Linked DNA regions of Ovis aries. The protein of the gene in region 1 purifies or fractionates together with the protein of each later gene. This does not show direct contact. Links are inferred from orthologs where the notes say so. Each region holds a gene or a part of one and is shown in the gene's direction. Other genes may lie near its edges.

The links. The genes of interacting proteins can lie anywhere in the genome.
Region 2: the proteins of SMAD3 (region 1) and USP15 purify together in Homo sapiens (affinity purification with western blotting; 4 studies listed by BioGRID). This does not show direct contact. The link is inferred for Ovis aries from reciprocal best matches to the Homo sapiens genes SMAD3 and USP15.
Region 3: the proteins of SMAD3 (region 1) and RUNX2 purify together in Homo sapiens (affinity purification with western blotting; 3 studies listed by BioGRID). This does not show direct contact. The link is inferred for Ovis aries from reciprocal best matches to the Homo sapiens genes SMAD3 and RUNX2.
Region 4: the proteins of SMAD3 (region 1) and LEMD3 purify together in Homo sapiens (affinity purification with mass spectrometry; 3 studies listed by BioGRID and IntAct, counting the BioPlex papers as one, with this or other methods). This does not show direct contact. The link is inferred for Ovis aries from reciprocal best matches to the Homo sapiens genes SMAD3 and LEMD3.

Annotation. Positions count from the first base shown.
Region 1 is NC_056060.1:13,866,709-13,870,837, forward strand, and holds the start of SMAD3 (mothers against decapentaplegic homolog 3), read left to right. Parts: upstream 1-1,273; 5' UTR 1,274-1,820; coding exon 1,821-2,026; intron 2,027-4,129. UniProt on the Homo sapiens protein: Receptor-regulated SMAD (R-SMAD) that is an intracellular signal transducer and transcriptional modulator activated by TGF-beta (transforming growth factor) and activin type 1 receptor kinases.
Region 2 is NC_056056.1:157,296,658-157,300,236, reverse strand, and holds part of USP15 (ubiquitin carboxyl-terminal hydrolase 15), read left to right. Parts: intron 1-1,333; coding exon 1,334-1,507; intron 1,508-2,979; coding exon 2,980-3,138; intron 3,139-3,216; coding exon 3,217-3,441; intron 3,442-3,579. UniProt on the Homo sapiens protein: Hydrolase that removes conjugated ubiquitin from target proteins and regulates various pathways such as the TGF-beta receptor signaling, NF-kappa-B and RNF41/NRDP1-PRKN pathways.
Region 3 is NC_056073.1:18,657,135-18,660,713, forward strand, and holds part of RUNX2 (runt-related transcription factor 2), read left to right. Parts: intron 1-887; exon of another isoform or gene 888-1,366; coding exon of another isoform or gene 1,367-1,382; coding exon 1,383-1,738; intron 1,739-2,671; exon of another isoform or gene 2,672-3,119; coding exon of another isoform or gene 3,120-3,203; intron 3,204-3,579. UniProt on the Homo sapiens protein: Transcription factor involved in osteoblastic differentiation and skeletal morphogenesis. Essential for the maturation of osteoblasts and both intramembranous and endochondral ossification.
Region 4 is NC_056056.1:154,714,531-154,717,646, reverse strand, and holds part of LEMD3 (inner nuclear membrane protein Man1), read left to right. Parts: intron 1-1,005; coding exon 1,006-1,087; intron 1,088-2,871; coding exon 2,872-2,977; intron 2,978-3,077; coding exon 3,078-3,116.

The DNA of each region.
Region 1 (4,129 bases):
GCAGGGACCCCTGCAGCTTCTGGGCTGACATTGTGGATTAGGCCACACCTCACAGGGCTCTGTAACTCCCCACCCGCTAGAGGGTTTGCGGATCACTTCTTTCTCACCAAGGGAGTTTCCTGCTGTTAAAAACAAACAAAGGCTAAGAGGTCTGGTAGGGGAGGGGCTGCAGGAGAAAGGCCCTGGGGGCCTGGGGTAACTCCTGACAGCCACCGAGTGAGGGGTCTGTGGGTAGACGCCCCTGAATTGTGTTCATGGAGAGAAAAGCCCCAGAGCGCCCCCAATATCCTGGTGTTCCTCTGCTTCCCACCGAAGCTAATTTGGAATATATAAGGTCCCCGAAGACTGCCCTTTTGCTCCACTTGTTGCGAGTTCACAGCTTTGAAAACAAAACTCTCTCCTATTTTACTGGGTGTTGAATTTCGGATACTTTGTTTCCCATAGGATTCCAGCACCCTGTAATGAAACTTTTCCTCTACAGATAAGTTCTAAGGCTCCCCCATTCATTTCTTCCTGAGCTTAACGAATGCCTCTGAGGCCCATTTTCTGCGGGGCACTTGATTCCCAAAGGTCCAAGGGACCCCTGACTCCAGCTATTATCCAGGGAGTCACTGGGGTCCCCAAATCGGCACCTCTGAGAGCCTCTCCCTAATCCGGCCCTGGGGCTCTAAACTGGAACGGTCTCTCTGGTGCGAGAATAAAAACAGCCCCCCGAGTCCCCGGCGCCGCCACGGCCCCTGACCGGGATCGGCGCACCAGCGTCCTGGTGCGCGCCCCGACTTCCTGGGCCTCAGCCTTCCGCGCGTCCTCCCTCGAACCGGGGTCCTCCCAGGAGCGCACCGCCTGCCTGTGGCCAGCCCGCTCTCGTTCGTTCGTGCGGGTCTAACCCTCGGGCCCGCCACTCCAGCTGGGTTTCCTGAGTGTGGGTTCCGAGAGCGGACGCCACGACCCGAGCCCGGCCCTCCCGCCAGGGGCCCTTCTCGCCGCTCCTTTCCCACGACTTCCTCCCGGCGTCCGCTGGACTTCAGGTCGGGGCCGCGCGGGGTCCTGCGCGCTCCAGCCCTGGCGGCCGCTGTCCCAGGTCGCCCACGTGGGCGTGCTCCGCGCCGGGCGGGGGAAAGGCCAGGAGCCCTCCCGGAGGCTGGGGGTTGGGGGGGGGGCGAGCAAGGCGCCCGCAGGAGGAGGCGGCGGGGCGCGGGGGAGGAGGCGGGGAGCCCCAGCGGCAAGGGGGCGGTGACAGCGCTTGGAAAGGAGGCTGCACGCGGATTTGCATGAAACACAGACTGGGAGCGGGCGGGAGCAAGAGCGCGGCGCACGCCCCGGGCCGGCCCAGCTAGCGAGCGAGCCGGGAAGGAGGAGGGCAGCGGGGAGGCGAGGCTGCCGAGGCGGAGGGATCTGCGCATCAAAGCGAGCGAGGCGAGCAAAGTTTGGCTGGGGGTTGGACTTTCCTTCCTGGAGGCGGCACCCAAACAGCCACCCCGTGCGGAAACCCAAACTTTCTTCTGCCACTCCGGTCCCCGCGGCCGCCGCCTCCGCCCCGCGTCCCAGGCCTTCCCGATCTCGCTTCGCTACTGCCTGCCCGCCGCCCCGCCGTCCTTCTCCCCGCCGTGGGAGACGCCCGGGGCGCAGGGCCGCGCGCCGAGCCCCGCCGGCTGCAGCGCCGCGGCCGGGCCTGGAGAACCAGCAAGTTCGCCGAGAGTTGAAGCGAAGTTTGGGCGGCCGCAGCCGGCCCGGGCTGAGCTCCCCGCTGCGCCCCCGGCGTCCCGCCGCGCCTAGCCCCGCCGGGGGCGCTCCTCGCAGCTCGCGCGCCCTCCTCAACCATGTCGTCCATCCTGCCTTTCACGCCCCCGATCGTGAAGCGCTTGCTGGGCTGGAAAAAGGGCGAGCAGAACGGGCAGGAGGAGAAGTGGTGCGAGAAGGCAGTCAAGAGTTTGGTCAAGAAGCTCAAGAAGACGGGGCAGCTGGACGAGCTGGAGAAAGCCATCACCACGCAGAACGTCAACACCAAGTGCATCACCATCCCCAGGTGGGGGCTGGAGGGACCTCGGGGCGCGCCCGCCCGGCCCCATAGCGTGGCGGGGCCGGCCTGGTGGGACTGGAGCGGGAGGGATTGTGTGTGTGTGTATACGAGGGGTGGGAACGCAGGCAGGAAGCGGGCGAAGGGGGACCCCAAACAAAACCTTTTCTGGAATTGCAAAGATTCAGAGCCCGGGAGTTCCACGCGGCACTCGCTCCCCTAGACCCCGCATTGGCATTTCACCTCCGGGAAAGGGGGTGCTGCAGGATGCCCCCCCCCCCACACACACACCTCGGGGAGCTGCGGGATAGAACTTGAGGCCCGCTTTGTTCGGCTCCGCGGGCCCGAGCCCCTCCTCCGCCGCCGCCTCCCGCCCCCGCGGCCCGCGCTCGTGGAGGTGGTGGTGTCTCTCCCTTTCTTTTCTTCATTCCTGTCCCCCCACTTCTTTCCTTCTCGACAGGAATGCAGTCCGTACAGCTGGGGCTGTGGGTGAGGAGCGGGAGCCTCGTGATTGACAGATTCCTTCTTCGTTCTCTCTTTGCCTTCGGGATTAGCATTTTTATCGAGTATTTTTAGATTCGGTTGTGCCAGTCTCCCGCCCCCTCCGCACACACGCACTTTAGTTGCAGCGGAGTGCTCTGACTTTCAAATGAGAGAGATAAGTGGCGGAGAGTGGGGTCTTCTCCCCCGCCTCCCGCGGCTGTTTTTTGCCCTTCTTTCAGTCTGAGATTTCGGGTGGGTGCCGAAAGGAGGGGGTTTGGAGCCGAGGAGATAACAAAACGCACCCTGAAGTGGGCCTCGCATCGGCCCTCGCATTCCTACGGAGCCCTCCTTCCCAAAGCGCTTTGCCATCTGTCTGGACCTCCTTTATCCTCCACTTCGCGCTAGCTAGGTCTGGCAGGAGCTCACAGATGGCTGATAGAAGGGGTCAGTGACTTCTCTCCACTCCCCACGGCCTTCTCTTAGCTTAGCTGCGCCTGGCTGGAAATTGGGATGTGTTGAGGGGGGAGGTATCTTAGCTTTCTGTGTCTCCCTCTTAGCCCCCTTTGAACGTCTTAATTGTGTACTGAGGGAGAGTCTGTGTGTGTGAGTAGGGGTCCCTGGCTGTGGAGGAATGAGCAGAGGGTCCCCGGGGCCAGAGCTCCACATAAATTGTCCCTCCTGATGCTGGGCCAGAAGTGGACTCCGTCCTTGGCCACCTGCTCGGGGCAGCTGTACGCCGGCCGCCAGCCGTGTCAGGCAGGCACAAAGCAACATCTGTCCACGGAAACCCAGAGCCGGCCTCCTCTGGAAATAAATGCCACATATGGTGGGAGTGCGGACTTGAAAAATAATAATTTTTTTTCTTCAAAACTGGGTGGGTCCAGCCAATAAAGCGGGAAGGAAGGTGGTGTGCTGTCTGGGAAGTGTGCTCTGGTGTATGATGGGGAGCCGGAATTGACTTCAGAGGAGGTGGTGTGATGTGATGGTCAGGGAGCCCGAGGTCCTGGTCTCAGCCCTGGTTCTTCCTTCTTTATTACTTTAGGTGAGGGGTAGGGAGTAGGGTAAATGAATGTCATACTTCTCCCTCCTGGAGAGAATCTGCCTTCTTACCTGCCTGAGGGCGCTGAGGACAAGTGCTTTTTTATGTTTTGAGACAGAAAAAAAAAAAAAAAAAATCAGTATCCAGTATAAAACGAACAGCTGCATGAATTGTTTCACAGTTTACAAAAGACTTTCATATGCTTTTAGGAGATCAAGAAAAAGAAACTCCTGGAAAATAGATAAGGCAATTAATTAGGCCTAAGACTGATCCCATTTTCAAAGTTGAGAAAACTCTGGAGGAGAGAGGTGAAAAGGCTTGGCATAGCAAAACATGCCATTCTGACCAAATGTGCCCCTTCTGCTTACCATGGCTCCTCTTCAGTTTGAAGGGTCTGAATACATTCTTTGCTGATGGCTACAGGGTGGGCCCTGGGGAGAGGCCTGGCTCCCACTTGCCTTGGTAGGAGTTTGCCCTCTGGGAAAGCATAGCTGTGGCCTGCCTTTTCCTCTTCCAGTGTTTTCCGCAGCCTGGGGCATATGGACACTTGGGTTGTTCCTGAGAGTTCAAGTAAACTCAGCCTTCCCATG
Region 2 (3,579 bases), on another chromosome or scaffold:
TCTTATGAATGGTAAGCAAGCTTTGAAAAACTTTCATTTCCATTAATATAAATTCTGAACTCTCCTAAGAATGGGTTTCTACTACTTGCAAAGAGCTAGCTTCACTTAAAGCATTTTGTCACTGTGCTCCAAAACAAATATCTTCCTGTAGCCAAATAGTTACCTCTATGACTCTACGTCTGTGTCAGTCTTTACATATTCTACTTAGTGGCTCTAGACATCTAATTGATAAAGTAATATTGGGTTCAAAATGAAGTCAAATTATATAGCATTATCAACTTAAAATTATTTTAGCTTGAGATAAAATATTGTGGGAAAACTGTACTTCCACTGTCTATTTTATTTTAGATTCTAAATTATTCAAAATGGAACAGAGCTGGAGAATTAACTTATTCATAATTTTAATCATGCCATAAAGTAAAATTGGGTTGTTGTATTATTAAATAAGAGCTGGAAGAAGTAAGAATACTATTGGCCAGAGTTCACATAATAGAAGTTTGTTTTCTCAGACTCAGCTGATCTGTACTGTCCCTTCTAGAAAATGATTGACCCAAAAGGAAAACTTAGAAGGCTGCTCTTTTATGTTGATGAGTTGACAATGGAAGCAGTAAATATCTCTTTAAAGTTCATTTCTTCCTTGTGCTCCATCTCAGTTTTTAGCTCCTACTCAGGCTAATTGCGGAGAAGGCAATGGCACCCCACTCCAGTACTCTTGCCTGAAAAATCCCATGGACGGAGGAACCTGGTGGGCTACAGTCCATGGGGTCGCTAAGAGTCGGACACGACTGAGCGACTTCACTTTCACTTCTCACTTGCATGCATTGGAGAAGGAAACGGCAACCCACTCCAGTGTTCTTGCCTGGAGAATCCCAGGGATGGGGGAGCCTCGTGGGCTACCGTCTGTGGGGTCGCACAGAGTCGGACACGACTGAAGCGACTTAGCAGCAGTAGCAGCAGGCTAATTGGCAAATGCCTGGGATGGTTAGACAATCCATAATTTCTGCCAGGAAAAAAAACTCTGAACTTCTCTCCCAGTTAACCAGTAGTTTGCTGTGGTTAAAATTAATGTAGGTTTTGCAGCAACAAATATTAGCATTTTTGTTTACTATAAATAATTGACTTGAAATTTGGGAAATGAATAGTTGAGTACATCATTTGAATGTTTATTTGATTAGTTACTTATTAGTGCAAGAGGCCATCAATGTAAATTTTTTTCTCTCTCTCTCTCTCTCTCTCTCTCTCTATATATATATATATAATCACTTTGTTTCTGCATTTTAATGTTTAATATGTATGGTTTCTTTTACTTGAAAATATATTTTATTTTTTGCAGTGTTTGAGCAATACACCTCCACTTACTGAATATTTCCTGAATGATAAGTATCAAGACGAACTGAATTTTGACAATCCCTTAGGAATGAGAGGTGAAATAGCTAAATCTTATGCTGAATTGATCAAGCAAATGTGGTCTGGAAAGTTCAGCTATGTCACACCAAGAGCCTTTAAGGTTAGTATCTCAAATACATTTTCATCAAGGCGTTTTTACCCCCAAGAGGACAGACGTCTTTAGGAAAAGAGCAAAGAATCATAGCTATTACAGTGGTTTGTGGCCCTCCAGAGGGACTCAGCATATAAATAGATATGCAGCAAATAAAGTATTAAATTTTCAGGGTGGGGTACAGAAATAGATAATTAGTTTAAAATATCCAAAAAGAGTTCTGGGAGCTGTCAAAGGAAATAAATAAAAGTTGAGAAATGCAGGCATGGTTCAAAATGACGACAGACAGACAGCAGTGAGCACTTGCAGATTGTTTTAGAATACAGCATATCTCTAAGAAACCTACGTAAACATACAGAGGTAAAGACTAAATTTGAGCATGTCATTAAGCTCTAAGAACTCTTATTTTGAGAGTGATAAGTTTGAAAAATTACTGAAATTAGTCTGCAAAGCAAACACTAAATACTGAGTATGGTGATGGTGGTAGTTTAGTCACTAAGTCATGTCTGACTCTTGGCGACCCCGTGGACTGTAGCCCACCAGGCTCCTCTCTCCATGGGATTCTCCAGGCAAGAATATTGGATTGGGTTGCCATTTCCTCCTTCAGGACCTCTTCCCAGCAGTTTTCAATCACTTTTTATACAACTTAAATGATATTCTTATAGGAAATCAACTGGGCAACATTTTATTACTGTATACTAGTTCTTTAAAAATAAATAGCAACAAAGCAGAAAAGGTCCTACATTTGTTCCTTAACTTTCCAAACGTTGGACCAACTGGTTTAGACAAATCATTCCTCAGCCTTTATCCATAATTCCAGTTATTTTCATTTTACAAGATGTCCTCATTTAAAATTACATTGTAAATAGGTCCTTGATAACCTGACTTTTTTCTTTCACATTTCTTTTCAGTCTCATCAAAAAAATACTTAGCACTGCAATGGCTAGAAAAATTATATATGAGCATGAATATTCCTTTTGTCTCTATGAGATTTATCCTCTTTAAACACAGAAGCTGAATGAGAGCACTGTAGTTTTCAAGTGACCCAAAAATGTTACTGAATTTTAAGTCTGTGTGTGTGTGTGAGCTCAGTCATATTCGACACTTTGCAACCCCATGAACTGTAGCCCACCAGGCTTCCTCTGTTCATGGAATTGCTTCCACTAAGAGCAAGTCTTTAGTGTTTCCCAATTCTTTGTACAAAACTGCAACGTTTTCTCATTGTTCTTCGCTCAGGTCAATGTTTCTTTTCTATTTTACAGCTTAGTTACCATTATTAAAATATTTTTAGATATGTAATTATTTGTGTGTATTTACCCGTATGTAATTATCGTATCTGCAAATTACTGGAAAAGTGCCACAGGTTGATTTCAGGATTACAAATAAATTTTAGGAAGTAGATGAATTCACAGATATGGATTATCGACTATATATTTTTTTAAATCCCTAGAACTGATTTTATAGTTTTGCTTTTTTTACAGACACAAGTAGGACGTTTTGCACCTCAGTTCTCTGGATACCAGCAGCAGGACTGTCAAGAACTATTAGCTTTCCTATTAGATGGACTACATGAGGATTTGAATAGAATTAGGAAAAAACCATATATACAATTAAAAGATGCTGATGGAAGACCAGATAAGGTAAATTTAACCATATTATTGTCACATTGTTACAATAATGTGATATCTCTGTGTAATATGTGTCTGTTTTCCTTATAGGTAGTTGCTGAAGAAGCCTGGGAAAACCATTTAAAAAGAAATGATTCTATCATAGTAGATATATTTCATGGCCTTTTTAAATCAACTTTAGTATGTCCGGAATGTGCTAAGATTTCAGTAACATTTGATCCTTTCTGTTACTTGACACTTCCATTGCCCATGAAGAAGGAACGTACCTTGGAAGTTTATTTAGTTAGAATGGATCCACTTACCAAACCTATGCAGGCAAGTAATGATTCTTTTCTTGGCATTTGTTAGTTCTGAGTCCTTATGCCTTAAGTTCAGTTCAGTTCAGTCACTCAGTCGTGTCCAACTCTTTGCCACCCCATGAATCGCAGCACGCCAGGCCTCCCTGTCCATCAC
Region 3 (3,579 bases), on another chromosome or scaffold:
AGCTGACAGTTTTCCAGTGCTTAAAAAAACTCATCCTTGTTCTCTAGGAACGACTAGTTTGAATATAGAAGGAAAAAGTGTCCAACACCCACTTGCGTTTCTAAAACTATTTTGACAAGTGTCCCCTCCATCCCAAATTTTTGTGTCACTTAAGTGAAAAAAAAAAAAAAAGAAAAAGAAACACACCCAAACCCTGCAAAATCTTTTTTTTCCCTAGGGAGCCGCTCCGGCAGAGGTGGGGGGGGGGGTAGGGTGGGGGAAGGGTGAAGAGTGCTGAGAAGTCAGCACAGACGCTCAAGAATTTTCCTTCCTCCTCTCCTGAAGTTAAAACGAAAAATAACGACAGTCAGATCAGCCAGCGGCTCTCTGGCATCTCAGCTTCAATCTCCCTGGACCAAGAAGGGGGTTCCTTGTCCTGGGAGGAGAGGGCGAGAAGCAAGAAGACGCGACCCGGCGAGATCCCGCTAGCCCGGGGCCGCCTCTCTCGGCTTCCGAAGCTGCGCGCGGCGTCCCGGGGGCTCCTTCTCGCGGCCGGCGGGCGGCGGCAGCGGCTGCGATTCGTAGCCTCGAGATCCGTTGCCCCGAGATCCGCTGCCCGCGACTTACCTCCTGGCACCTCGAAGCGCGAGGGTCAGGGGAGCTTTGCAAAAATCAGGAGGGAGTGGATGCGAGGAGGTGGCGGTGAGAGGGCGAGAAGAGGAGAAGGGAAAGGAAAGAGCCGGACCGGGGAGCCGGGCTGGCAGCCGCCGCGGGAGGAATCTGAGTGCGCAGCCGGCGCGGGGGGAGCGGCGGCCGCCGCGGAGGAGGCGGCGGCGGCGGCGGCGGCAGCGGCGCGGGCGGGCGGGCGGCGGCGCGGACGCCTGCAGCCGGGTAGCTGCGCGCGGCGCGGAGCGGCGGTGGCGGGCAGCGCGCGGCGATCCTGGCCTCGGGGCTGGACTGCTGAACCCACTGGGCTCCACCGCCGGACTCGAACTGGGAGGGGGCGCCAGCGCACCCAGGACGCGGTGCCCCAGGGGGCCCCACTCCAAGTTGCTGCAGACTGAAGCCTCCCGCCTGCCCGGGCCAGACACGTCCCGGTGCTCGTTCGCAGCTGCCACCCCGGGTGTTCCAAAGGCTCCATCAAGACCTGCGCCTCTCGGGTCTCCCCAACCGCCAAGCCGACTGCTCCGCAACGCCGCCGCTGGCTCCCGTCAGACTCCGCCCGGCAGTCGGCTTCATCGAACTTGATTTCTCACCTCCTCAGCCCCATCACCTCCAGCCCCTTTTCCCCCGTCTGGCCTCCACCCCCCCAATTTCCTCCTCCTCGCCCCTCATTTCCACCCTCCTCCCCCTCCCCCGGCCACTTCGCTAACTTGTGGCTGTTGTGATGCGTATTCCCGTAGATCCGAGCACCAGCCGGCGCTTCAGCCCCCCCTCCAGCAGCCTGCAGCCCGGCAAGATGAGCGACGTGAGCCCGGTGGTGGCTGCGCAGCAGCAGCAACAACAGCAGCAGCAGCAACAGCAGCAGCAGCAACAGCAGCAGCAACAGCAGGAGGCGGCGGCGGCGGCGGCGGCGGCGGCGGCGGCGGCAGCGGCGGCCGCGGTGCCCCGGTTGCGGCCGCCGCACGACAACCGCACCATGGTGGAGATCATCGCTGACCACCCGGCCGAACTAGTCCGCACCGACAGCCCCAACTTCCTGTGCTCCGTGCTGCCCTCGCACTGGCGCTGCAACAAGACCCTGCCCGTGGCCTTCAAGGTAAGAAACTGCGGCTGCCCCCCGCCCCACCCCCGCCCCCGGCTCGGCGCCGCCGGACCTGCCCGCAGGCGTCTCCGAGCCCGCGGGGGCCCGGGTCCCGACCCGGGAGGCCTCCAAGGCTCGTACCTCGGTGGCTCCGACCTGAGGGACCCCCGCCTGGCCCTTTTCCTCGGGATCCCCCAGCTGGGCTCGCCGCGTTAGTGGTCCCGCACAGATGCTTCCCTCTCCCACTTGTGCCCGAAGCCACCACCTCCGCCCGTGTCCCCTCTATCCGTTCATCACCCCTCGAGCCGCCCGGCCAAAGTCCCGACGCACTCCTCTGAGCCGCTCTCCCCTCCCACAGGAATCCCCCGGTGCCCACTCTCGGAGCCGCCGCCGGGACGAGCTCCACCCCGCCCCCCACTCCTCCGGGGCGAGGATCCCCGGCGTTCTCCCCTGAGACTCCCGCGCCCCGGTCCCCGGCATCCCGGCTGAACCCGACCGCGGGCCGCCGCGCCGCCCCGCCTCGGGATTCCGCGGGCTCCGACCCTCTCCTCCCCTCCCTCCCAAACGCCCTCCGCCCGTCTCGGCGCCCCACTCTCTGACCGGCTTGCGCCGTGGCTGTCCCGGCCCCTCCCGGGCTCGGGGGCCAGTGTTAGCGGGGTGCCGGCGCCGGGCGTTCGCGCCCGGGGCGGGGCGCCGGGTGCCGGTTGCTGGCGGCGGCGCGTGGGCCGCGTTGCGGGTGTCCAAGAGGGTCCGGGCAAATTTAGGGTCTCGGGGAGCAAGGGATGGGAAGGCGGGACGGGGGCGTCCTCAGCCTGCAGACCCTCGCCGATTCCCGCTGCAGAGGAAGGCGGGGCCGCCGGGGTCGCCGCGCGCCCGGAGGCGGGGGAGCCCGGGAGTCCCGGGAGCCAGACCCTCGAGTGCGAGGCGGCGCGGGCTGCTGGAGGGGGCGGGGGCTCGCCGCGCCGCGAGGCCGAAGGGAAACCTGCGAAATGCCTTCGGCTCGCCCGCCTTGAAAACTGAGGTGACGCTGTGAGATTTGCCTTATTCTTTCTTTTGAGGACTCAGACCCCAGAGGTCCCTCCCGCTTCTGAAAGGTCGTGGGAGGCTCGGGTCCGCGACCCGGGCGCCGCGGCAGTGACCACCCCCCCAGGCTGGAGAGCACCCCGCGCGCGTCCTGCGGCGGCCTCCTCGGTCCGCCTGGCCCGTTAGTTTGAGGGCGGATGTCAGCAGCCGGAGTCGCGGGCAGCGGCTCGGCACGTTGAGGGTCCGGAGTCTCTCTGTGATGCAATTGGGGTCCCCCCGTGCCCGGCAGCCCTCGCCCCCTCGCAGAGCGCCCCGGGTTGCTGGAGAGACGAGGTACCCAGGCCCTTCCTCCTCGAGGGATTAGGCGCTTGGGATGGAGGGGGCGGTGAGCCAGACGCGGAGGAGAGGGCTCGCAGAAAGATGCTTCCGGTCCAGTCTAGCCTCTGAACCCGCGAAGGTGGGCCTGGGTCCCTTGGGTTCTGGGATTGTGGAGAGCAGGGTAAGCCAGGCCTTGGGGTGGGGTGAAGGGGGGAGGGAGGAATCCCGCCAGTTCCTCCCTTGTGGACCCTGGGGCCAAACTCCCACGGGCCAGTGGCAGTTCCCTGTTGTTGACCACCCCCCTGCGCCACGCACCAATTCAGATTCCGTGTGTGGGTGGGGTGGAACGAAAGAGGAGTCCAGGTCAATTAGAGCTGGTTATCTCGCTAGGTCTTCTATCAGAGCAGGAATCAGAATGAATTATTATGGAAAGGGGATGTTGCATTCTGAGGCAAGTTTCATTTTGCAGTTGGCTCAAGAAACGTGTGTGTGTTTTAACCGTCCCATTTACAAAC
Region 4 (3,116 bases), on another chromosome or scaffold:
GACCTCTCCTCCAGTGTCCTGTTTAATTAATGATACCGTCCCCTCTTCAGTCAGTTCTGTCAAAAACCAGGGAGTCATCCTTAATCTCTCCCTTAGTCTCTACATTAAACAAGTCATTAAACAAGTCATGTCAAATCTATTCCATAATGTCCTGATTCTGTCCACTTATTTCCATCTTCATCATTGACCTGTCTTATCCACATTACTATCATCTCCCTCTTGGACAACATAATAACCTCTAACTGGTCTCCTTGCATTCACTTCTTATTTCCATCTATTTTCCACATAACAGTCTATGTAAAAATTTTAAGAGATCCCATCTTACTATTCCTGTCCTTAAAACATTTGAGTGGATTCCCATTGCCCTTATGGTAATATCCAAGTACTTTAATGCAGTTTACATAGTCCTCCATAATCCAGCATCTTCAGGGTTATCTTTCTGTTGTTCCATCTCTAGTCACAGTGACTGTCTTTTAGTTATTTGAATATATCAAGTTCCTTCTTGCCTTGGGCTTTGTATAAGCTGTCACCTTTGCTTTAGATGTCCTTTACACCTTTCTTTATTCTGCCTATGTTTATTTATTCTTTAGATTTCAGCATAAATGTTTTCTTTTTTAATTGAAAGATAATTACTTTACAGCGTTTTGTGGTTTTCTGTCATACATCAACAAGTATCAACCATAGGTACACCCTCCTTAGTGTTATCTGATATTCACAAATGGGCTTAAGTACATACATTGACAGCTTTCTATACCCTTCTTTCTTAGAATTTGCCACAGTTATAATTTCTTTGGTGATACTGTTTTTCATCTGTCTCCACTACTGTAAAGTGTGAGATCAGTGACTCTGTGTCTGTCTTGTGAGTGTGTCTGTCTTTTTCACCTTGATCCAAGGATCTAGCTCATAGTAAAAGCATGCAGTGAATATTTTTTGAACGAATTGACTGAATACCTTTCAATAAAATGGAACAGTGGAAAATAGTAAAACTAATTTGTTTTTCTATAGCATTTCATTTAGATAGAAGAAATTCACCACCAAATAGTTTGACACCATGTCTGAAGATTCGAAATATGTTTGATCCAGTTATGTAAGTATTATGACAAAAGGTGCATGCAATTTTTTAAATATCTGGATGAAAAATACATGATAGTCTTATAATGCTGTGTCTATGATTGAAAAATCTCTTTTACTTCTGAATCTTAACTACCAAAATTTGAAACAAAGCTTTCCGAAAAGACACAGGTGTATAATGATTTGAAAAACTTTTTAAAATCTTTGTTTTACTGTGAATCTATAGAAGACAGATGGTTGAATCAGATTAATGACAAATATGATGATAAATAACAGTATCCTTTATTAAATGTATGTCATGTTTGCCACCACTCTTTGCCTCTGTAGGCAATATAAATAAAAATATCTGCTGTCTTAAAATTTCCAAACCCTTATTATAAGAAGTTTTCTACGAAAGATGTACATACCCTCCTTTCTATAAGATTTGTCTACCTGTCATTGCAATATTTGAGGAACTTTTATGTCCATTTACCATTGAGAAACTTTTCTATTAATTACTTTTCTTTTAATTACAGTGACACGTGCATTCCTGAAAATAGTCTAGTCAAAAGTTATTTCTTTAAAATCCATAATATTTTACATATAAGCTGTAATAATCTTTAGAATTTGCTTCCTAGAGGTGACTGCTTATCTGTCCAATAATAGGACAAATCAAATTCTGTTTGTTTGTTTTTTAAAAAAAGCTGATAGTGGAAATTGTCTTATGTATAAAATATGTATAATTCCCATCTGATAACTCATTTATTTCAAGAAATAGTTAATATGATAGACTAAATAACAGCGAAATTGTTAATGTGACAAAGCACTGTCAGCATACACACACACACGCACCCCCTTCGTTTTGCAGAGGTAGAAATGACAGTGTGGTGATCCCTCTACTGGGAGTCTCACCCCATACCTTAGAGATTAGGAAGTCTGTGCCAGCCCAGTACTTTATTACCTGAGATGAAGATTTATGATTTGAAGTGGAATGGCCTTTTCCTCTGCCCCACCATCTGTATCTCACAAGAAAGACAAATGTGTGTTACTATAACAGAACCTCTTTCATAATAGTAAAGTGACTTATTTTTGCAAAATGTTTGTCCTGTATAAAGTTTCTAATATTTTGGGAAAAAACAGCTCAGAATATAATATTTACTAAGAATTTTCCTTAAGTTAGGAATTTGAAAATGTCATTAAAAAATAATCCTTAACTTTTATAAGTTTACCACAACTCATTGAAGTGTTTGTTAACACTTATTTAGATAGAAAAGAGAAATGACTATAAGTGCAAAGGATTTTAAACATAAAATTGAAAACATATTTATCTTACTATGGTAGGCTGATCCTTCTTGCTATGGTAGGCTGATCCTTCAGTGCCTCAGCTTGTACATTCTTACACCGGAAAGTGAGAACATAGCTGGGACTTCTGAATGCCAACATTTTTAAAATCTACCTACTGCTAGTAACAAGCATTTATATACTGTTAGTTTTTTACAATATATGGTTTTTAAGCTGTCCTAATTCTAGTTAGGTATATGGTGATGCTAGTGGTAAAGAACCCACCTGCCAATGCAGGAGACATAAGAGACACCGGTTCAATCCCTGGGTCAGAAAGATCCCCTGGAGGAGGGCATGGCAACCCACTCCAGTATTCTTGCCTGGAGAATCCCATGGACAGAGGAGCCTGCCAGGCTACGGTCCATGGGGTTGCAGAGTCAGACACAACTGAAGCAACTTAGTATGCACTCATTGAAGAGACAGAAAACTGCTTTCTGAGTAGGAATGTGGCTGTTGATTTTTTTTTCATTAATTTTTTAGGGAAATAGGGGATCAGTGGCATTTGGCAATTCAAGAAGCAATTTTAGAAAAATGCAGTGATAACGATGGCATTGTTCACATTGCAGTAGACAAGAACTCTCGTGAGGTAAAGTAGCTTTCACTATTGAATTCTTCATGTTGAATTATTGCTATTAAACTAAGACTCTTTCTTTCTTCCTTTTTGTTTTCTTTTTAAAATATTCCAGGGTTGTGTATATGTTAAATGTCTGTCTCCAGAATATGCT